Macaca mulatta: one gene and its partners. The protein of the gene in region 1 binds, or shares a complex with, the protein of each later gene. Links are inferred from orthologs where the notes say so. Each region holds a gene or a part of one and is shown on either strand. Other genes may lie near its edges. The genes, in order: SNTG1, TRPV3 and PTEN.

Region 1 (8,069 bases):
TGGGATTACAGGCATGAGCCACTGTACTTGGCCTTTTCATAGTTTTATATAAGTAACACATTATTATTAAAATTTTAGCACCATTTCTAAAAGATTTCAATTTTTCGTTAGGTTATTTAGTGAATTCACCAGGCAAACACTTATTCTTTTAAAAAACTAAATCTTAAACTGAAATTGTGAGTAAATTTGTTAAACATAGAGCATATAATTACTTCACAATTTTTAATTTTAAAAATGTTTTCGAGTATGTACATTACATATGATGAAGTGATAATTACCAAGTATTCAAATGAATTGATTGAACGATACGTTTTTGAAAAAAAATAACATGATCACTTTAACTTTGCTGACAAATTGAAGAACAAATTCAGGAGACCCAAAATGATTTTCTGACTCTTTCAGTGAGTACAATGTGCTGAAGAAACTTCACAGTGACAATTTAAGGATAATTCAAAGGTAAATTATCTGGCCTCAAGACATTATTTTAATGACCTCTTACTCTTGATTCTTCTTCATTTTATTTTTTCGACCGTTTTTGGGTTTTTTTTGTGTGTGTGTTTGACAAAAAACAAAAAATCTGAATTACATTACTGAGTAAGTGATGATATAATTTTTTTTCTCTGGTGCAATCATATAATTTAACCACAGAACAATGCTGGAAATAACTGTAGCACCAAATATTGACTTACATTTCTTAAGCATACTATCAGTATATTTTTGTTGATAGTCTAGAAATCTATACAGACCAAATGTTGATAAATTACATTGAAAAAATCATAATGACTTTTAAAACCCCAATTAAGAAAAGCAAATAAGCAAGGAAATATTGCTTATTTGGTTTTCTAAAGAGATTTCCTAAAGAGGCCTATGAATAGAATCTAGGCTTTGGACTAAATCAAGACAGCATCTTAACAGCATTTCCAGGCTAGCCCCTTAGATCAGCCCTCATGTTGTCCACATTTCACTCCATGCTCACAAGCCAGCAGTCAAATCACAATGTTTTCTGGATGTTTTAGGATAGGTAGTTTTGAAGTCTACTTATCCTATGAGTTTTCTTATCAATATCACTAATGGCAAACATTAACACTCCTTTATAAACCAGAAAATTATGGCACAAAGTGATAGATTCTTTGAGGGTCAAAATGAAAGTTGTTGAAATAAACTCAGGTCAACTAGGTTTGTCCAATTGATAAAGAACGTGGTGTCAATTCTGAGTAATAAATATTTTTTAAACTAAGTCCACCTTCATTGAATATCGCTTATATTTATACCATTAAGAGATATAAAGGAAATGACTGCTGAATTATCAGTAAAGTATTATATTCCCCGAGGTGAGAGTTGTTAAATATAAAGGATGTGCCTGGTATATAGTAATTGGTGGGATTTTTTGATGAATGAATGAATGCTATTGGAAATTATTGATAGTAACCCACAGATACAACACTTGTTTCCAAAACACTCTCAAAATCACTGAATTTGGACTTTCCAGTATCCCACAAAGTAGGCATCATTCACTCATCTCATGAGTGTTCACATATCAGCTGTATGTAAACTACTGTGCCTTCATTGAAAGGTAAAGCATCCCCAAATTTAAGGAAGAAAAATTAAGCTGCAGTGAATTGAGTGACTTGTAGAAGATCTTACAGCCAGCAGTTAAAAAATTCTGATCTTTTGACTGTCGGGTAGTACTTGTTTCCCTACAACATGATGTGTAACATGTTTCTTGCTGCAGGATGTTGTCTCTTCCAACACATGCTATGTGCTCACTCTGATAAGCTAAATGGGAAGAAAACACCAAATAAGATGTCTCTCTCCGTTTGAGTTCTATTCTGTAACACACTGTACAGATTTCTGGGAAGGTGAGATGACTACGGAAATAATTTCTAGCTTACAACATGCTTTTTTCTTTCCTAGTGACTTTGGTCTTGCTTGACGGAACTAGGTGAGTAAGCAGGTTAGCCGCCTGGAATTTATAAATCTTTAAGTGGTCAAAAACAGCCAATTACTAAATATTAGCAATAGTCATTTCTTATTTTTATGTTTTTTGATAAATGTTTGAACTTGGTTGAAACCCAAGTAAATAACTCCAAAGGCTTGGAGTTATCTAATTCTCATTAGTTATCTAATGAGAATTAGATATCTAACGGGTAATTCTAATTAGATATCTAATTATCATTAGTTATCTAATGCCCACATTAGATAACATTAGAATCCAATATGATTTCATGGTATTGATAATTACATTAGAATATACAGGTAATATATAAATATTACTATATAGTCCATGCAAAAATTAATCAAGAAAGGGTTTTATAATATTTTGGAAGAAGGCAATTGAATGGACTCCAGGGCTCATTTTAATTATCCTCTGGTCCTATATACACTTTACATTTTCTAGATTATGTAATCCTATCTCACTTTTCCCTTTTGAGTCTCAAATGTAAGCAACAGCCAACAACACTTAGTCTTATCCAATAAAGCTTTTTTTTTTTTTTTTAATGAAGAAGAGATACTGTGTTTGGTACTCCCAAGACCTCATGCATCGTTTTTCTTCAGCAAAACAAAATAACTATCAAATCAAATAGATGCCCTTAGTGGAGTACAGATATCCCTTAATAAAATGCTGATTGATCTTTAAAGACAAGTGATTCTGTGCAATAATGAAGGTTGGTTTCCACTACCTCCTTTTTGTTGGTTTGTTCGACTATCTGCTTTGCAATTAGAGATTAGCATTAGGTAGGCATTAAGTTGCTTTCCCAAACTCTATCTCAGTGTAAGGACATTTCCCTACAGATAAGGATTGACAAGGGCTTCCAAGCACTTTCATGAGTTTGGAGTGAATTAGAGTTAGTATTTCTGTAACTAAATCTCCTAAGGGATTAGGCAAAGGTAACTTTCACTTTCAGAGATTTCAGTTACACATAGAGAAAGTCTGCCCCCTCTGCCCCTGAGGAGGGAACTGCGGCCATATACCCAGAGGAGGAGTGCTTCTGGAAACACATTCTCTGCTTACATTTTATGCCCTATTGACTAGGGGAGTCCCTCGGTGTTAATTAATTGACAACCAAAATAATTGTCTAACAACATGCTGTAACTCTCTTAAAATATGATTAATTCTTCCATGTGATAATTTCACTTCTATACCTCTCCTATTGGAGAAAAAAAGGATTGTGTTAAGAGCACATTGTAGGTTTTCTGGGAAGAAATCCAAATCAATGATACATGTTTCTGCTCCTCAAATAATCATTCTTGACCTATATAGGGCAACAGAGCCCCCAAGGAGCTCAGTGACATAGATGCCTCTGCTCCTTTTCTGCTAAGCAAGCAGGTTCATGGTAAGTGGTGACAGTTAAGAATGATTTTTCCTCAGAGAGTAATTGCTACACTCAGCCAACATAAAACAAGAGGACATCACCCCACCAATGAATGCCACTGTAACGGCCTCCAATGATTTTTGTGTTAAAATTGAGAAGGAAGGTATGTACAGATGTGAAGTAGAGCCATTTTATTATCAGTTACACACAACCAATGAGATTAAAAGTAAAACCTAAAGATCTCCTGTAATTTTTCAAAGGGGTAAACTCTTTTCACAGAGTTGATTATGCATATGTCATCACATGTATTTACATGACTATAAAATTCCATCCTTGCAAGTGGAAACTCTTCACTGAACTGAATGTACTCATTGGAATTGATCAAGTTCTTAATGAAATGTCAGGCACGGGTTATAAATTAGTGTAACTGCTTTTGCCCAGTGAACCCTTTTTATTAAAGCAGAATGCTTATCAAGGTCACTGTGAAAGATTGTAATTTTAAAGCTCCAGGGGAAGACTAGAAATAAGAATCAACAGAAAACAGATTTAATGAGCATTTTAAAGTTTACGGCTTTTCGGAAACCTATTGGCCCCTATCACTTTCTGAATTTCAGTGACAAATGTATTTTACAGAACTAGTAAGTTAGAATGATTTTGAAATCCAGCTCTCCTAAAGAGGCACACTAAAGCTTCTCATTTTCTGCCTTCTGGCAGATCAAGTTTGAGAAAGCAGTCTTGAGCTTTAAAAGGCCAGAAAGAGGGTGCTAAGTAAAAATGTGAGTGTCTCCTTACATAAGATTCTACAGGTGTAGGCATACTTGGGGGTTGGCATGGAGTGAGAAATCTGGTGTGTATGTATACATGTGTTTGTTCCCATGCCTAGTTTGGTATATTGTAACAATACAAAATGTGTTAGAGGGCATGGTTAAACCCTCTCTATTTCAACTTTTTGAGCCTTGCATACTATGTAACACAGACAGGATCACTTTGGGCATACATAAGACAACAAAATTATCTTGGGAAACGTCAGATTGTATTAGCTTTGGAAAAAAATAAACAAGATATGCACAGATCCAAAAAGATATTAAACAAGCAATAAAAAATGGCCAGCTAAAAGTTTGCTGTATTTATGTAAGGCAACATGTATGTTATTTTGATTCTTCTTGTCACACAATGATCCAGAAACAATTATTTTAAAACAAAATTTCTTGTCCCCCCCTTAACCCCAGGAAAAATTACATTGCTTATGTTCTTTCTGTTAAACCATAAGACAAGTCATTAGAATTTTAAAAAAACAAAAATAATAGTGCTATCACTTACCTGCCAAGCAATGAAATTAGATGTCTTTTCAGTTTCTCTAACGTAGAATTTTGAGTAGATCTCCAACCTCTTTTCACAAAGCTATTTCCAAAACAGTTGCAATCCACTCAGGACCATTCTGTTTATTTCAAGAAGTGTGGGCCTTTTAACATTTCGACCCCTACTGCATGGCCCATGATTTCTCAGAGCTTCTAAGAACTTCGACTTTACTCTTCTGCCAGAATTCCTCCCAGGCCCCTATAGAAAAATGATTCTTGAAGTTGCTGCCGAGAGTTTAATCGGTGGAGCAAGAGTACTCCTCAGAGTCCTGTCCTTAGGTACAGCAGGTGTAGAGGGAGGGGTACTTTTCATCCATTAAGGAAGGGGACCGGGAGGCGAGGGAGTAATAGGAGACACCTCCTTTTAGCTGCGAGGAGCAAGGAGCCCAGCTGCCCCTGGCGACGACAGTGGCGGCAAGGAGAGCGGCCTCGGCAGCGTAGTTGCGTTCCTGTGGCTGCAGCCCGGTCCGGAGACGCTGTCCATCCCCTCTGGTGCTGAACTAAGGGGACGAGAGCCCCCAAGCCCAGCTCCCGGTCGCACTTTCCTCCACCAGCGAATCCAAGCAGCAGCTTCCTTCTCTTCCAGCCTAGCCTTCTCCCCTCCGGTGATTTTTTTTTTTTTTTTTTTTTTTTTGGTAGGGGCTAATTGTTTCTACAAAATAACAGTCTCATTCTTATTTGGTGACAACGTTTCCGGAAAAACAGGAATCCGTAGGAAATAACATCTGAGCCTCCCCTGACTTTTCAGTGGCCCTGAACGAGTTTCCTAATGCCAGAAATGAAAGAAAACGCACGCACAGGCGCGCGCACACACACGCACGAGAGAGGCAGAGAGAGACAGAGGGAGAGAGAGAGAAATACAGATTTGTACCGTGGAAAATCCAGAGCTTCTTTGGAAAGCTCATGGACCTCTAATTACATAAGATGAAAAAGGCTATTTTGGAAGACTTCGCAATCTTGATTACCAATTAAGGTGACCACATTCAAATTTTGAGATATCCAATTTGAAATTCCTAAATTAAACCCAGTGAAGATTCTTAGACCCTCCACGGGGAAAAGACAGGATATTGCTAAAATTTTAAAAGACAGAGAATGAAAGAATGAAAAAGACAAGAAAAGGCATCTCCACTCGGCTACCTTTTATAACGCTGCTGAATTGGATCGGGATCGTTGCAGAGCCTCTCAGAGGATCCAGCGAACGCAGCTCCTGTGAGTGTCAGCGCTGGGCTCAGCGAGCAGGGAGCTTGGAGGCCCAGGGCAGTGCAAGCGAGTCTCCCACAGCCTAAGCTCCTGCAGCGGGGCAGAAAGCGGCTTATTTCACAAAGGACTGGATAAAGAAGGCACAAAGTCAGTCAGAGGGCTTGACCATCTCTGCCTTTGTAAAGCCGGAGCAAAGCCCAATTTACCTTTTTTGTTTGTTTGTTTTTGTTTTTGTTTTTTTGTTTTTTGTTTGCTTGGCTTTTCAGCCCATTTTCCCTTCTGGTCTCCCACGCTGCCCCCTCGCCTCCCTACTCCGGAATCCGCGCTCTCCTGGGCCTTGAAGGCTCTTCACTCCCGCTCCAAACAGCCCCCACTTGTGTCTGTTCCACTGCTCTTGGCAACTGGCTGACAACGAGCATAAAGAAGTGTATGGGTTCGTGATCCTGAGTGCTGTCACCCAGGGCTCCGCCACCCACACTCGGCAACGGGTGCAGACGCGAGTGAACTGAGACGGGAAGTTGAAATACATAACGTTGAAACTGTTGGAAAACTGGTCAAAACCAGGGCCATGCGGACCTTTGAAACTATGTAGAGTAAAGGGGGAAGATGGAAAGAGCTGGACTGTAACATCTCCCGCCCTTGCAGGCTCTTGACTTGTGCAGTGCAGATTTCTTTACCAGGAGGTTGTTGATAGACGTGAGAGGAAATTCGAGAAAGGCTGGCGAGGGGCGCTGGTGTGTGTGGTGGGGAAGGGGGTTGGGGAGGGGCGGGGCGCAACACTAATTTCTCCCGGACTGTGGGAAGGGGCCGGACGCCTGCTCCTGGCCTCCCTTCCCCGGCGACTTCTCAGGTTCTTCTTCCTCCTGTTCTTACACTAGAGGGAAGTCCTAGACGTTGTGCTTTCCTCCCACGCTTGCTTCCATTAAGGATTAGAGCGCGTTCCCGCTGGTCTGGAACCATCCATTCCAGGTAGGGGATCTTTCCTCTCGGGGACATTGCGCTCTCCAAGCACCGGTCTGAGGCGCGCGCTGGGGGCGCGCGAGGAGGCGGCACAGCTAATGGAGTTCCAGTGGGCTCCCTGGAGGAGAAACGTTATTGAGCCGGGAATCAGTCGGGACGGAGAACCAAATAGGCCGCGTATTCACTCATAGGAAAAGGCCAGGCTTTGGCTGGACTTTGAGCCATTTTACTGCTGCAGCAATGGCTTTATTTCCCTGGGGTGGCCACCAGCCGCCACCGCGGCTCCGGCTGAAAGAGGCCGCGCTGTGCTCCGCGCATTGCAGGCCGCGGTCGCTGTGTGGAGCTGCACACGCAGGAAACGGTCGCCGTGGAACGAAGCCCTTGGTCAACTTTCTCTAACAGTCTTTTTTAACAGAGGCTCTCTAAAACCGTGTTTGGGGAAGCCGTCAGATCTCACGGAGACACACAAACCTAAAAAAAAGAGTATCTGCTGCTTGAGGTTAATTTTTAAGGGCTCTTTCACTTTTCAGTCCATGTGAAAACAAATTGCTTAAGGTTATGGTAAATGAAGTTTCCTTTTTCCTTAGACAAATGTGATCAAACACGTGCTTATTTTTTTCTGCAGAAACAATACCTGTCCTATGTAGAAATAAGTTTCAGAAAGTGCCCCCTTTTTGTTAGATAAGGAAAACAAACCCCCGTGTGAAGGTTATGCTAATCAGGGCCCTTCCCTCCTTGTCAGCAAAGAGGGTTTTCTCTGCTGTGTTCAATTCTGTGCTTACTTAAGTGGATTTAATTGATTGTTAATTATTTTATCGGGATATATAGAAACATGAATAATCACAGAAAATCAACACACCAAATAAGAGCATTTAAATGAGGCATAGAGTACAAAGATGTTGCTAATTAAAAACACATGCACTTGATTATTCAGACCTAGAAGAGCAGATTCCCTTCTTCCTGATCACCGATTGAGTTTTATGCAGTCTCTCTCAATCTTTCTCTCCCTCTCCCTGTCCTGCCAGTAAAAGAAAACAGAAACAGTTGATTAATTTGAACTGACAGTCCCAGTATGATTATGATAGTTTGATGTCTTTTCTTCAAGAAGCAAAATCCACTTTATATTTTTTCTCATCAAGTTGTGTAACCAGTTATGGAAATCAATATGATGAAAATTAAATACGGCCTAACATCTGATGCGACAAATGAATATAAATGAAGTACAAGATAACAAAAC
Region 2 (7,375 bases), on another chromosome or scaffold:
GATGGATGGATGGATGGATGGAAGGATGGATGGATGGATGGATGGATAGATGGATGGAAGGAAGGACGGATGGATGGATGGATGGATGGAAGGAAGGAAAGATGGATGGATGGATAGATGGAAGGATGCATGGATGGATGGATGGATGGACAGATGGAAGGATGGATGGAGAGATGGAAAGATGGTTGGATAAAGGATAGAAGGATGGTTGGTAAGGATAAGCGGGCATGTGAATGGATGAATGAGTGGCTGAGTCCATGAAAGAGGGCAGGTGATCGGATGGGTGGATGGGGGTGGAAGAGGACAAGGGACACTGAGTGGCTGGGAAGGTAGATACACGGTGGATAGCTGGGCAGATGGATAGGGAAGTAGATGAATGAAGTAGGTAGGATAGGCCAGTCTTATCCATTTTTTCCCAATTTATAACTCAGAAAGCTAAGGCTTGGGAAGGAAACGCCTCCCTGAAGCCCCCCAGCAGTAACGGCAGAGCAGACAGGGATGGAGGCCAGGCCTGCTATCACCTGCCTGCCTCGCGGGGTGGTCTGGAGGGGCCGAGTGACCCACTCACCTCTTTCACGGAGATGCACGTGGCCCAGATGAGTACGAACATCCTCCCGAGGAGCTGCAGCCACCCCATCTTGTGCGTCAGGGCCAAGGGGTGCGGGAGGGCCTGGGGGGATAGCAGAGGGGTGGTCGGAACAGGGAGTAAGGTGGACCGGGCTGGCACCAACTCTACAGGGACCAACACACAGATAAAACACTCAAGCCAGGCCGGAGGCCAGCACGAAACCCGATCTCTGTACAGAGCGAGAAAAGGAGGAGCAGCTCCCTGACCCCACCCTCCCCACCCTTGATGGAAACCCATAACTCTACAACGACAAGTATCAGCCAATCGGTGCTAACAACCCTCACACTCCATTGCAATAGCCTTTCCAGAACCCATTCATATCCAGACACTCAACACGGCCTCACCGCACCATTCAATAAAGCCGAGGCTCCGTGCCCCACGTGACGCATGGGAAGCCGAGGCCCGGCAGGCAGGGAGAGCTTATCGTCCTCCCATTTCCTGCAGCCCTCACAGCAGAGACACCCAGTCAGTTCTGTATTTTGACAGAGACCCTGGGCAGGGCCTGAGTCTCCGAATTCTCCAACTTTCCCCCCCAACATGGGTCTGCCTGGAACTCAGCACCTAGGGTTTAGCCCAACTAAGCACCGAAGACTTACTCAGTTCCCTAGAAAATGTGAAGGACAACTGGGGACCCCACCCAAATCTCCTGGCCTCTCTGGGCCTCAGTTTTCCCACCTGCACGTGGGGCAGCTCCAAGCCCCGCCAGCTCTGACCGCCCCATTTCTCCCCTCCACGGGGCCCACGTACCTCCTCCTCCCGGGGGCGGTAGTACGAGACGAGGGTCAGGGTGATGTTGTAGAAGAAATAAAAGCAGAAGGACAGAAAGAACATGTACTTGGCAAATTTCTTCCACTTCATCCGCAGCAGCGTGTGCAGTGGCTCCAGGGTCAGCATCTCATGCCGGTTCTAGGGGTAGAATGCCACCAGTCACCATGGAGATGAGGGACAGAAGGAGCGACCGTTTGCTAAAGGCCTGTGGGAGCTCTGAGGCAGTGCCCCTTCTGCCGGGGTCCATCATTATGCCCAGTGGACTGGTTTGGCTGGAAATGCTGGGAGGGCGATTTCCGGCTCCTGAGGCTCCTCCCACGGTACTCGGGCAGTACTCAGAGGCCGCAGGAGCCTGGGCTTGAGGACTCGATGCACAGCAGAAAGTGGAGGATAGAAGCGGGCAGGAGGTAGTGACAGGGGTTCCAGCCCCAGTTTGCCCCTCCTTTGCTGTGTGACCTTAGGACAGCCCCTGACTCTCTCTGGGCCTCAGACTCCTCACCTATAAAACTCCTAACAATCCCTGTCCTACCAACCAGGCTGCCGTGAGGGTCTGGGAAGACCCAAGGCAAGGAGACTCTGGGAAGCATGACTCTCGGTAAAGTATGGAGGAGGAAGACCCAGCCTGCTGCCTCACTTCCCCCAAGAGCTGAACGCCTCTCGTAGCTGCTCCTCTCTTCACCTTCGGTGGCACCAAACGCTCCCCTCCAGCCTCCTCCAGGAAGGCCTCCCTGATTGCTTCTCAGCGCACCCTCTGACCCTCATTTGGGACCAGGTTTTGGGGAAGAAAGAATTCTAAGCCTGACCATATACACCAACAGGGGGGTGGGAGAGAAACAATATGGAAAGGATCAACCCCAACCACCCTGTCACCCACACCCACACCCAAACAGCCCCGGATACTGGGACCGGAAGACCCCCACCTGCCCCCACCACCACCACTCAGGTCTACAGTCCAAGGTCAACCAGGAAGAGGCGGGCCCAGCATCTGTCCCAGGCCTCGCCCTTTCTGTGCCTGAATCTGCCCACTGAGGCAGCAGAGTGGGGGATGCAGACACGGGGCGGTGGAGCTGGCAGCACTGGGTCTTCCCAGCGTCCTCGGAGCCCCTGGCCTGAGGTCCAGCCCTCTGTTCCCTGCCCTTCCCTGCCTGCTCAGAAGACCCACGTCGATGTTGGTGTTGTAGACGGTGATTTCCAGCACGGAGTTGTCCGTGGTGGTGTCCACGTTGGTGAGGTCGTAGAGGGAGGACGACACGGGTCCGTATGCCCAGTCAGTGAACTTCCTGGACAGGCTCCGGAGCCGCTTCTCCTTGATCTCACGACTGAGGATGTACTTCAGGATCTGGGACAAGACGAGGAACAACTGTCAGCTGCAGAACAGGGGCTTGAGGCCAACAGGGCTGGACCAGCCAGAGGTGGGCTGGGCCCAGGAGATACTCCCGCCCAGGATGGGTGGAGACCTGCCTCTGCGCCTGGCACGACGGCCCCTGGGCCCCGTCTTTATCTGCGGAATGTGCACACAGCTTGCTGTTCTGCCCATCTCACTGGGGGATGTGAACACCGGGGACAAAAGGTGTGAAGGTTCTTCACAGGCTGCAGCAAGCTGCACAATCGGCTTGAAACGCCTCACGCCAGCTGGGGCCCCAGTTCAGTGAAAACTCCAGGCACTGATGATTTTTTAGAAACAGTTTCCGTTTGCTCTGGACTTGAGAAGAAGCCAGAAGTGTTCTCAGTGTCCCCAGCTCACCGTAAGCCAAGACCCTTCCAGCTGTGGCTCACTGCTCTGGCCAGACAGCTGGTGACGAGAAACGCCACGCCCCACAGGGAGGCCCGCGGGACTTCGGTAGGTCAGTGATCCTCAAACTCTGTTGCATGTTGGGGTCGCTGGGAAACTTAGAAATTCCCACAGCATGGGCCAGGTGCAGTGGCTCACGCCTGTAATCCCAGCACTTTGGGAAGCCAAGGAGGGGCGGGTCATTCGAGGTCAGGAATTGAGACCAGCCTGGCCAACGTGGTGAAACCCCATCTCTACTAAAAATACAAAAATCAGCCGGGCGTGGGGGTGCATGCCTGTAATCCCAGCTACTCAGGAGGCTGAGGCAGGAGAGTCGCTTGAACCTGGGAGGCGGAGGTTGCCGTGAGCCAAGACTGTGCCACTGCACTCCAGCCTGGGCGATGAAGTGAGAGTCTAGTCTCAAAAAAAAAAAAAAATTCCCACAGCATCAACTAATGAAATCAAAATCTCCAGGGTGGGACCCAGGAGAAGCTTCCTGGCTAGTTCCAAAGTGCAGGCTGGATGCAGAGCCGCTGTCTCTGGCTCCTACTTCCAAAAAGCTGAGCCCTGGGTTACCCCCGGATGAGACATGGGCTTCCTAGGGCACCAACTCAAGACCCAAGAGGAAGGGACTGTTGGGAAGGACAGTGTCAGAGATCTGGCCTCACAAGGCCCCGTGGGTTCCCATCCCATCTGTCATGAGGGCCCAGGCAGAGAGCTTCTAGGGATAAGGCCAGGTCTCTCCGTCCCGCACCCCAGCCTATAAAAGCCCCAGGACGGTGGCCAACCTGGGTAGCATCCAGGAAAGTTTTTTGGAGGACACGGAACAGAGGAGGGATGCGGGGGACAGGTGCCTCCCCCAGGCCAGCCACAGCGGGCACACTGTCCCCTAGAAAACAAGGGGGTCCTGGGGCCATGCTCCATGCAGGAAGCCTCCTCCCCGGGCTGGGGTGGCAGGGACAGCACCCGCCACAGTGGCACACAGGGAAGATGGCCTTGGAGAAGGCTCCTTCTGCAACCACAAGCTGACTCTTCAAAGCCCCAGCAAGCTGTGACCCTGAGGGTAGGCAGGAGCTGCGGGGAGGCAGACACACAATTCCTCCTCTGTTGAAGCAGTTCTCCATCTCCTCCTCCCCCACAGGCGAATCAAAAGGCCCCTTGTGGGCCCCAGGCCTGACTACTTGGGACAGGACCAAGGCCCTCGGGGCAGCTAACCAGGGAGGCGGGTACCCTGAGGCTGGCACAGCTGCAATTACTTAACAGCCACCACCCCCCAGTGTCCTCTGGTGGCGTCCCAGGAGCCACAGCCTCCTCGCAGAGGAGTGAGACAGTGAGGCTGAGGAACACACTTAGACCCCAGAATCCGTCCCCTAAGAACGTCTCAGACCAAGCCATGACACCGGCCCCTGAAAGAGATCCGAGCCCAGCCCTGCTCAAGTCTTCACCAAGGCTCCCAGCTAAGCCTCGGTTATCTCAGCCACATCACACAAGGCAAGAAGGGCCCAAAGCAGCCACACTCTCGGCTGGGGACACGGCACAGAGTTCCAGCCGGACAAACAGGCTGGAGTCTCTCCATGACTGGGAGATGGCAGCATATTAGCTCTGGGCCCAGAGCAGCCATTCTGGAACTCCCGTCCCCGTGAGAGGCAGAAGGCCCCAAGGGCCACCCACTCAGCCCTGCTGGGGCTTCTGTGTCACCTCAGCCTCAGACTCCCCCAGCCTAAGGACAAGAGATGGAAACGCGGCGTATTAGGGACTGAAGTCTAGAGAGTGGGCTGCATCTCACCAGCTCCGCGTGGCCCCTCAGAACAAACCCACCTCGGGCCGCCACGCCACTGCATTTCTGGACCTAAGTCTGGGACCTTCTCAAGGCTGAGGCTGTGGTCTCTGAATCCCCGATAGGGCCCCCGGCGCTGAGAGAGTGGCAGCTGTGCCTCCTGACCTCCCGACCTCCCGCTTCCCCATGCCCCATGGCCCCACCTCGGCCTTGCCCATCTTGGCGGCCAGCTGCAGCGGCGTGAGGCCATCGTTGTTGCGAGTGGTCTCCAGCTCCCAGTTGCCACTCCGCAGTAGAATCATGTCATACATGCGCTTCACAAAGTCGTTCTGCGTCTTGAAGTCCTCGGCCACGGTCACCAGGGCGTGGAGGATGTTGTTGCCCCGCGAGTCCTGCGAGGTGATGTCCGTCTGCTCGTGGTCCATCAGCAGCTGCACAATCTCGGGCTGGTTGGTGCAGGCTGCCAGGGCCAGGGGCGTCTCACCTGGCGGGTGAGCACATTGAAGCTTGGTTCTCTCATGGGCCGGAAGCAGCGTCCCCCAAGACCCAGGACTGGGGCCCATATCCTATCTCAGCAGGACTGGCAACTCAGGTTCCCTGGCCCTCTCCCCATCTTCCGCTTCTATGGGGAAGAGTGAAGCTAGATCACGGCAGTACCCTCCTAACTGGCCTCCCTGTCTCCACCCTGGCCTTTTAATACTCTGCTCAGCACAGCAGCCAGATCAATCTGCTAGTGCCTCTCCCAGAATGAAAGCTCAGGTTCCAACGGCAGCCCACTAAGCCCTGCATCCTCTGACCTCCTCTCCCCATCACTCACTCCCTCCGGCCACAATGGCCTTCTTCCACCTCCTCCAACAGGAGGCCCCGGGTCCTTCGCTCGTCTATCCCCTCTGCCTGTAGATAGTCGAGTCACTCACTCCCTCACCTCCTTCACGTCCTTGCTCAAACATCACCTTTCAATGAGCCACCCTAAACACTGTTTAAAATTAAAATCCACCCTCCTCTTGCCCCAGACAGAACTCCTCATTCCTTGTCCTCTGCTTTACTTTTTTTTTTTTTTTTTTTTTTTTTTTTTTTTTTTGAGACAGAGTCCTACTATGTCACCAGGCTGGAGTGCAGTGGTGCGATCTCGCCTCACTGCAACCTCCACCTCCTGGGTTCAAGCAATTCTCCTGCCTCAGCCTCCCGAGTAGCTGGGACTACAGGCGTGCACCACCACGCCCGGCTACTTTTTGTATTTTTAGTAGAGACGGGGCTTCCCCACGTTGGCCAGGATAGTCTTGAACTCCTGACCTCGTGATCTACCTGCCTCGGCCTCCCAAAGTGCTGGGATTACAGGTGTGAGTCACGGCACCCGGTCCACTTTGTATTTTTTAAGAGCACTTAACATTTTGCATCATACTATATAAAATGCTTATTTATAATGCTTGTTACCGATGGTCTCTCCCTGTCTAGAATGTAAGCTCCATGAGGGCAAGGATTTCTGTTTTGTTCAGTGATATATTTCAAATACCTAGAACAGTACCTGATGTAGATAGTAAGTGCTCAATAAATGCTTGTTAAGAACAAATAAGGCAAGTGACTCACATGAGGTCACACAGCAAGCCTGGGACACGACCAGTCCTGGACACCAGGTCTTCAGCTGCCTCCCCTCTCCTCACCCCACCCAACAAATGCTTCTCAACACCAGCTCCAACCAGGTCCTATGCAGGACAATGAGGGCACACTATGAACTGGACAAGACCCTGTTTTCCAGGACACCCACACCTGGACATCCAGGGCTGCCCAGAGCGCAGACTAGCTAGTCCTGCTGATCAAAAAAACCACCCAGAAGGTAATCCCAGCTGCTCAGGAGGCTGAGGCATGAGAATCGCTTGAACCCAGGAGGCAGAGGTTGCAGTGAGCCAAGATGGTGCCACTGTGCTCCAGCAGCCTGGGCAACAGAGTGAGACTCCATCTCAAAAAAAAAAAAAAACCACCCAGAAGAGAAAACAGATGGGTGATCATCAGTCAGGCAAGACTGGGTGGGAGGAGGGGTCTCCTCTGCAACAAAGTTGCACAGAGAAATTTTTGAGTGTGAGGGAGCCATTTGTTCCCTGTCCTGATTGCAGTGGTGGTTAACCAACTCGAGGACGCATTGTGAAAATGAACAGAACTGTCCTCTAAAACGGGTGACTTACACTCTATCCAAATTATGCATATCATTTTTTTTTTTTCCTAGAGCATCCTAACCCCAGTCGCTTCTGGACTCTGTGACTTGTCAGGCAGGGGAACTCTGCCCTCTCACTCTTGACTACCTCTCTGCAGTCCTGAGAAGCACTGGGCCCAGGCACAGAGGTCAGAGCTGGAGGCCAGGACATCTAAGTCAATGCCCTGCTACCCTGGGGCAAGTCCTTTCCCTTCACAGAGCCTTCTCCTCACCTGTAAAATG
Region 3 (7,375 bases), on another chromosome or scaffold:
CTTCAACCTTGAAAGTAAAATATGGAGTCATAATCTTTTCCTTCCTAACACACTATTAATGTTACAGATCTTGCCAAAAATGATCTCAGTAACTTGAAGGCAAAGAAAATGATGCAACATGAATTTATCTCAAGTCTTGGAGAAGTCTTATTTCTTGACAAGTCTACTTTCATCAGGCAAGAGAATCTTCAGATTCCATTTACTCTTTTTTCTTTTGTAAAATAGCATTTTCAGCACTTTTTACCAAAGTCAACACTGATTGGATATCAAAGATTGGATATAAAAGTTGCAAAGTCAAAGAGCATAGTTTCAACTTGTTATTTTAAAAGTTAAATAGCAGTTTTTTCATTAAAATTTCGTATTGAACAGAACTAAAGCTTAATTTTGGTTAATTTGTACCACTTAGATTTATTCACTGCTCTCAGGTAGTGGCCACTGGTTTTTGCATTAAAAAAAGTGACATAGTTTTCATGAAGGTTCTTTTACATTCTGTTTAAAATAATATATTTCAATGTAATAAAAACTATGTGCAAAATTTTATGTACACTATGTACATTTTTTGGTGGGAGAACATTTATACCTTCCATCAGACTTTTAAAAGGTATGTAACACAACTTAAGACCCCCTGGCTTAAATCTAGTGTTCTGTGCCTCCACATTACAAAATCTTTCTATTTTATTACAAAAATTGTTTTACCTGACTTTTTTCCCACTACCAAGTTATCTGCTGCTCATCAACTCGGTTTTAAATTTCTACCATCGCTTTTGCTACTGCATTTTAATTTTTTTTTTGAGATGGAGTCTCGCTCTGTCACCAGGCTGGAGTGCAGTGGCATGGTCTCAGCTAACTGCAACCTCTGCCTCTTGGATTCAAGCGATTCTCCTGCCACAGCATCCTGAGTAGCTGGGACTACAGGTGCGCGCCACCACACCCAGCTAAGTTTTGTATTTTTAGTAGAGACGAGGTTTCACCATGTTGGCCAGGATGGTCTTGATCTCTTGACCTTGTGATTCGCCCGCCTTGGCCTCCCAAAGTGCTGGGATTACAGGCGTGAGCCGCTGCGGCTGGCCTATATTTTTAATCAGTAAAAGCAACTGTTTCCCTGCAGATAATAATGGGATAAATCAAAGTCAAAATCTTTAGATCCTCAGCTCTATAATTTATGCCAGTGCTATCATTCCAAGGTGCAAACAATATGCAGAAATGTAAGGCAATCTACCATAAACTTCAACATTCACCAAAATTATGCACTAATGTAAGATTCAATTTTGTAAACTATCAACAATAAATAGTACTTTGGCATCCTTATACATAATGCAAAAAAAGTCACAAAGGTAAGGAAACAAGACATGAGAGAGGGGTAAAGGAACAAGGAATCAATGCAACTACACAGCTTTAAATGATTAATATGATCATTCTATTTCTGTTTTACAGTTGAATTAAGAAGAAATTAGCTTAACATGAAGGGGAACTCTCTAAATGAGTTTTTCTATCTGTCTGGAGGGGCTTAGGCTTTGTCCCTTTAGAGATGGAAAAATGAACAAAATCTCTTTGTATTAAATTTTAACATGTTTTGCCATACTTACCACCCAAAGAAATACATCAACAGCAAAATTAAATCACTGTAAAAGTTATCCCAAGAGTTTTCTTTTTGCTTTCAGATGTACTATAAGTATTAAATTTATCACTGATTTTTCAATATAGTCCTTAGTTTTCCGATCAAAGAATCAAGAATCTTCTATTAATCTAACTACATTTATGAATATTCTTATAAAAGAATAATTTTTATGTATTATAAAAGTTCACACTTTACTAGGTAATGGTATTTTATCCAAAGCCATTCTATGCTCAAATAAGCTTCAGAAATATAAGCTTATTTTTGATAGCTTTTTAAAAATGTTATTTTAAAAGAATTTTATGAGACCAAATCTGCAATACAGTTAATGGGTAACATGTGCTAGTATGATATGAAAATGGTAGCATGAACAGAAAAATGAAATCAGTCATTTCTCATATAGAAATTGAGGCAGCAACTGATTTAAAAATTTAGAAGAAATAAGGATTAGCAACTATTTTTAAAACCTGTTTTCCAGGGACTGATGGTGGGGCGGGGAGGGACACAAGATGAACAAGATCTGAAGATCTACTGGACAGCACAGTGACTATAGTTAATAATAACATTGTATAACTGAAAATTGAAGCTTGTAGATGTTAAATGCTTTCACCTTGAAGGGAGAAGAATAATTATGTGAGGTGATGAATATGTTAAGTAGCTTGACTGTAGTGATCATTACACAATGTATATATACATACATCAAAAGATCATATTATACATTGTATTTATATATAATTTTTACTTGTCAATTACACCTCAATAAAACTGAAGGAAAAAAAAAAAAAACACCCAGTATCTGTTTTCCAATAAATTCTCAGATCTAGGAAGAGGAAAGGAAAAACATCAAAAAATAACTTACCTTTTTGTCTCTGGTCCTTACTTCCCCATAGAAATCTAGGGCCTCTTGTGCCTTTAAAAATTTGCCCCGATGTAATAAATATGCACAAATCATTACACCAGTTCGTCCCTTTCCAGCTTTACAGTGAATTGCTGCAACATGATTGTCATCTTCACTTAGCCATTGGTCAAGATCTTCACAAAAGGGTTTGATCAGTTCTAGCTGTGGTGGGTTATGGTCTTCAAAAGGATATTGTGCAACTGTGGTAAAAAGACAACCTCAGAATAAGAAAAAAAACTCCTGAATTTTTAATTACAAGTAGGTTAACTTTAGAAATGTTGCATACAAACTTAACAAGTATTTAAAAGAAACACTAGATTCCAGAGAAAAATAATGTATTGCTTAACTTTCTAATTTTTAAATAGAAAATAGTCTCTTGATAAGTCTCAAATATAATCATTAAGGAAGGCAAGTATTATTTTCCCCCATTTTATTCAGAAGGATATATTCTAGGAATTTACACTATACGGACTGACAGCATAGGTCACATATTAGAGGTACAGCTAAACCCAAAATGAAATGTCACATGGACATTTCATCAGGACTCTCAATGCAAAAGGAATACTATTTATAGTATTTATTTCATCATCACAAAACATATTCCAAAGACAGAATAGATTACTAATAAACTATAGAAAGAATTGCATATTACATTTCATAAAATAAAAATGCTAAGTGTGTTATTTAAAGGTGGTCTTGCAAATATTAGTGTTGTATACACATGTAAATCATTAGGGAAGCCAAGTACTATTTACCTCCATTTTCTGCAGGAGAATACATTCTGGGAATTTACGCTCAATGGACTGGTAGCATAGGTCACATACAGAGATATGTGAAGGCATACACCAAAGAAATTACTTACAAAATGTATATAATTGTTATCAAAGTTTCAGGTCTTCTCACATGAATTATAAGAGTCCAAGACTTCTCTGTTCACTATAGTCAGAGTTGAGGTTTTTAAAAAACCTTGTTTAGAAACAGGACTATAGATATATCACTATTAATTGTTCTTAATAGTTTCTACCTTAGTTCCACTCTATTAAGATCCTTAAAAACTCTGACTGATACTCAACGTACTATCCTGTGTTACCTAAATATGTGAGATGTATGTCTTATATCTCCAATCAAGTCACTCATAATATGATACAGGATACAATCAATTATCCTTTGGTGTGACAGGACAGCTCTTCTGGTAGACAATGACTATCATTATAGGGAGTCCAGAAGGACAGCTTTCACTTAGTCATCTGCCTAACTCCATTTTCCCAGTGGTACACAAAAACCTCCAGGAAAACCTGTTAAATGTCTATTTAAAGCAACATAAACCTCAACTAAAGCCTGCTTTGCCTAGTAAGCAACAACCTAAATCCACCAAAAACAAAAACAAAACGTTCTTAGTGAATCTATACCAAATCTCAATCATGAGTGATTTAGAATTTTCAAACCATCTGTCTGAAAGTCCATTCTAGATTTTCAGGAGGGATCAATGGCAAATACATCAATAGTAGCTCATGGCACCCACTTTCTCTTTTTGACTATCACAGCGGCATCTGCCTAGCTTCTCAACTCTTCAGTTCTCTCATGGTTTAAAGTGTTAGGTCATAGAACTGAGCTGTATTTCACAAATAAAAGTGAAAGTTTTTGTGGGCTCTGAGAATTAACTTATGTCTGAAGTAGAACTCATTTAAAGCAATTCCCTCCTCTCATCCATCAGGTTTCTCTTATCAACATTTGTTATATCCTTTCCTACCTTTTATGTCATTCCTCAACACAGAAGAGTTAAGTAGTTCTGCTTTCTCCCTATAGTTGCTTACTATTAGACCTACTGCCTTAAACAGTAGGTAAACCCTCTCCTTATACTATTTTTAGTCTAGGAATTTTCCTAATTCTTAGTCTACTCTGCACTTCAGTCTTCCTGACAATATTAATAGCTTTATGCAATACTTTTTTCCTAAAAAACAGCAAAATTAAATTTTTTGAAAATTTTTAAGATACTTCTTAAGATAAATACGTATCTCACTCAATAATCTAGATGACTCATTATTATGACAGTTAAGATATAGTCTATCGGGTTTAAGTTATACAGCATAGTACAGTACATTCATACCTACCTCTGCAATTAAATTTGGCGGTGTCATAATGTCTTTCAGCACAACTAAAAGAAAAGTTTAAAAGTGATATATAGTTATCTTTTGCATTTAGGAAGAAAAAAAGTACTAATATTAACAAACATTGCCTGAATCTTTATAATGTGACACATATTATGCTGTTTAACATTAATTATTTCATGTAATAAGAATTCTATTACGTAGATACTATTATCACCCCCATATTATAATAATAAAACCAAAGCTTAAAAGATTAAGTGTATGCAATTAGAGCTAATAAATTTGCTTACAAAACTTGTGATGTCACTACTATAGAGTACTGCAAATTCAGGTGCTTCCATGCTTTCAAATTTCCTCTATGAAAAATTTGCATGCTATTGGAATTTTTTTTTTTTTTTACAAGTACCTATAAACAACTGGCTAGTTTCAATAGTATCTGTATCTCATATTTAAGCATACATAATTCTCAAACTATTCTTCAAAAAGATATATGTTAAAAATAATAAAAGCATAAGGACAGTAAAGAAAAACTGAATGATGTTAATCTACTTGGACACAATGCTTACCAATTTTTTTTTTCTTTTTCTTTTTTTTTTTTTTTGAGACGGAGTCTTGCTCTGTCGCCCAGGCTGGAGTGCAGTGGCCAGATCTCAGGTCACTGCAAGCTCCGCCTCCCGGGTTTACGCCATTCTCCTGCCTCAGCCTCCCGAGTAGCTGGGACTACAGGTGCCCGCCACCGCACCCGGCTAGTTTTTTTGTATTTTTTAGTAGAGACGGGGTTTCACCATGTTAGCCAGGATGGTCTCGATCTCCTGACCTCGTGATCCGCCCGTCTTGGCCTCCCAAAGTGCTGGGATTACAGGCTTGAGCCAACGCCCGGCCACCAATTTTTTTTAAAACAGACCTTTCTCCCTGTTGAAAAGCCAATGGTCACCTTTTACAACAGTCTCTCAGGTTGCAAGTTTTAATTACAGTATGAGAGTAACGAAAGAATAAGCAAAAGCAATACAGAATAGTAAAATGCTGACTTGTCATTACTAGAGTATGCTAATATTTGTCTTAATAGCAGTGATATATTCGTTAGTATGTACTGGCTTTCTAATAATTAACAGCCCATGTTTACAAACAATACAAGGCTCAGAAAGAGATCTTATGTATCAGTGTGGCTAGCAGTAGCCTGGTAACTCCAACTACTATGCAAAACAATTTTTTAAAAAATTATTTAAAATAAAATCTTAGCATTTTAAAACAAATAAAGGTCCATAGATCCTTAACCTGCAATTTCAATATCCCAAAAGTTCAAAACATCTAACACTTTCTCTTAAGTTTTATGGCAAACTCAACTACAGCAAATCCTGATCTGAAGTAATAAGACTGTATATAATCTTTAATACACTTAGAGTGAAGAGTGAAACATTTCATTTCAGGTATTGACCCACATCCCACTGGGGTGTTTATGTAAAAGTATACGCATCTGTGTTACCTTTTGAAAACTAAAATTTCTGAAAATGGAAACACTCCTGGCCCCAAGAGTTTCAAATAAGTGATTGTGAACCTGTATTGTACATTTAGAAACCCTGAAAACATCTATATAGTTTCTCTACTTTAAAGGAAATTCAAAACGAAATTCACATGAAGGTTTAACCAATTATAAATAAACTGAAATCCACTGGTTTCTAACTGGTCAGACCTAAAATAAAACAACTTTCATATTACCACTCAAAACAAGCTTTTCCTTTTTAGTATAATTTAGTATACTGAATTTTTTTAGAAAGAAAACGTATTTAGCAATGACATATGCACATATATGCATCCTTGCTAATAATTTCATATCCACTGATATGAAAAACAGGAAGAAGAGGACTGACAAAGAAGACAGTCACATTTTACACTTTCTTTGGTACAGATAAAAGAGGAGAAATTGTCAATAGTGAAGAATTCATAATGGAGTATTTTATAAGGAATCAGAGATATAGGACTAGGAAACAGAATCTAAGAAGCTGGTCTCGTGACAACACAACAGAAAATAAACGTTAGTTTTGTGCAGCTTCAGTTCTCTAAACTTCCCCTACTTTCTCAGAATCCCAGAACATGTGGTTTGACGAACACTCCTTAAGATTGCCTTAATAAAAATGGCTCTCATATATTACTGTTAAGAGGACTATATGGATGGAAAGTGGAAGTAATGACTACTAAGTGTCAACTAGATGAACACACCTTACAAAGACTTTCCACTCATTTTGTTTCATCCTCACAACCACGTGATAACTGCTAATATTATCTTCATTTTATATAGGAAAAAGCTAAGATTTAAGAGCATTAAAAAACTTGCTCCAAATAACAGTATACAAATGAAAGAGCAAGAACTCAAGCTCAGTATCTCTGATTACAAAAGTAAAACTTTTTCTACTACTGTTCCATAATTCTACTTATAATAAAAAAACAAAGTTTTACATACAAAAGCAATAACAAATTTTAGTCAAAGCCAGCATTCCTACAACAGCAGTATCTGTCATAAATGATAGAACCAACAGTGACAGTAAAAAGCAAGAAAAAAGTTATGAAAATCTTCACAGGTAAGCATAGCAAATATGGGAGCAAATATACCGGGACTGGTAATGATAAATGTGCTCAGGGAATGGGGGTTGGTAGGATAAGGATGAAGACTTTCTTCTTAAATTAAAATCTCTGATAAATGCCCTCCTTCTACCTACCACCTACCCAGTTTCTTTTAAATTCTTTGCGGTTTGGTAG

Evidence for each region.
Region 2: the proteins of SNTG1 (region 1) and TRPV3 are in contact, whole or in part, in a crystal structure (PDB 7QQN), measured with the Homo sapiens proteins. The link is inferred for Macaca mulatta from reciprocal best matches to the Homo sapiens genes SNTG1 and TRPV3. Residues at the interface, in NP_001274742.1 of Homo sapiens: Arg62, Gly66, Gly67, Phe68, Gly69, Leu70, Ser71, Ile72, Lys73, Gly74, His78, Ser85, Lys86, His118, Glu119, Val122, Arg126; in NP_659505.1 of Homo sapiens: Pro786, Glu787, Thr788, Ser789, Val790.
Region 3: the proteins of SNTG1 (region 1) and PTEN are in contact, whole or in part, in a crystal structure (PDB 7PC7), measured with the Homo sapiens proteins. The link is inferred for Macaca mulatta from reciprocal best matches to the Homo sapiens genes SNTG1 and PTEN. Residues at the interface, in NP_001274742.1 of Homo sapiens: Gly67, Phe68, Gly69, Leu70, Ser71, Ile72, Lys73, Gly74, Glu77, His78, Ser85, Lys86, Ile87, Ser88, His118, Val122, Leu125, Arg126; in NP_000305.3 of Homo sapiens: Asp395, Gln396, His397, Thr398, Gln399, Ile400, Thr401, Lys402, Val403.

Annotation. Positions count from the first base shown.
Region 1 is NC_133413.1:60,457,023-60,465,091, reverse strand, and holds the start of SNTG1 (gamma-1-syntrophin), read right to left. Parts: upstream 5,453-8,069; 5' UTR 4,635-5,452; intron 1-4,634. UniProt on the Homo sapiens protein: Adapter protein that binds to and probably organizes the subcellular localization of a variety of proteins. May link various receptors to the actin cytoskeleton and the dystrophin glycoprotein complex.
Region 2 is NC_133421.1:5,011,180-5,018,554, forward strand, and holds part of TRPV3 (transient receptor potential cation channel subfamily V member 3), read right to left. Parts: intron 6,515-7,375; exon of another isoform or gene 5,429-6,514; coding exon 5,148-5,428; exon of another isoform or gene 4,309-5,147; intron 3,241-4,308; exon of another isoform or gene 2,890-3,240; intron 2,736-2,889; coding exon 2,559-2,735; intron 1,535-2,558; coding exon 1,376-1,534; intron 671-1,375; coding exon 569-670; intron 1-568. UniProt on the Homo sapiens protein: Non-selective calcium permeant cation channel. It is activated by innocuous (warm) temperatures and shows an increased response at noxious temperatures greater than 39 degrees Celsius. Activation exhibits an outward rectification.
Region 3 is NC_133414.1:100,004,023-100,011,397, reverse strand, and holds part of PTEN (phosphatidylinositol 3,4,5-trisphosphate 3-phosphatase and dual-specificity protein phosphatase PTEN), read right to left. Parts: intron 4,669-7,375; coding exon 4,625-4,668; intron 2,714-4,624; coding exon 2,475-2,713; intron 1-2,474. UniProt on the Homo sapiens protein: Dual-specificity protein phosphatase, dephosphorylating tyrosine-, serine- and threonine-phosphorylated proteins.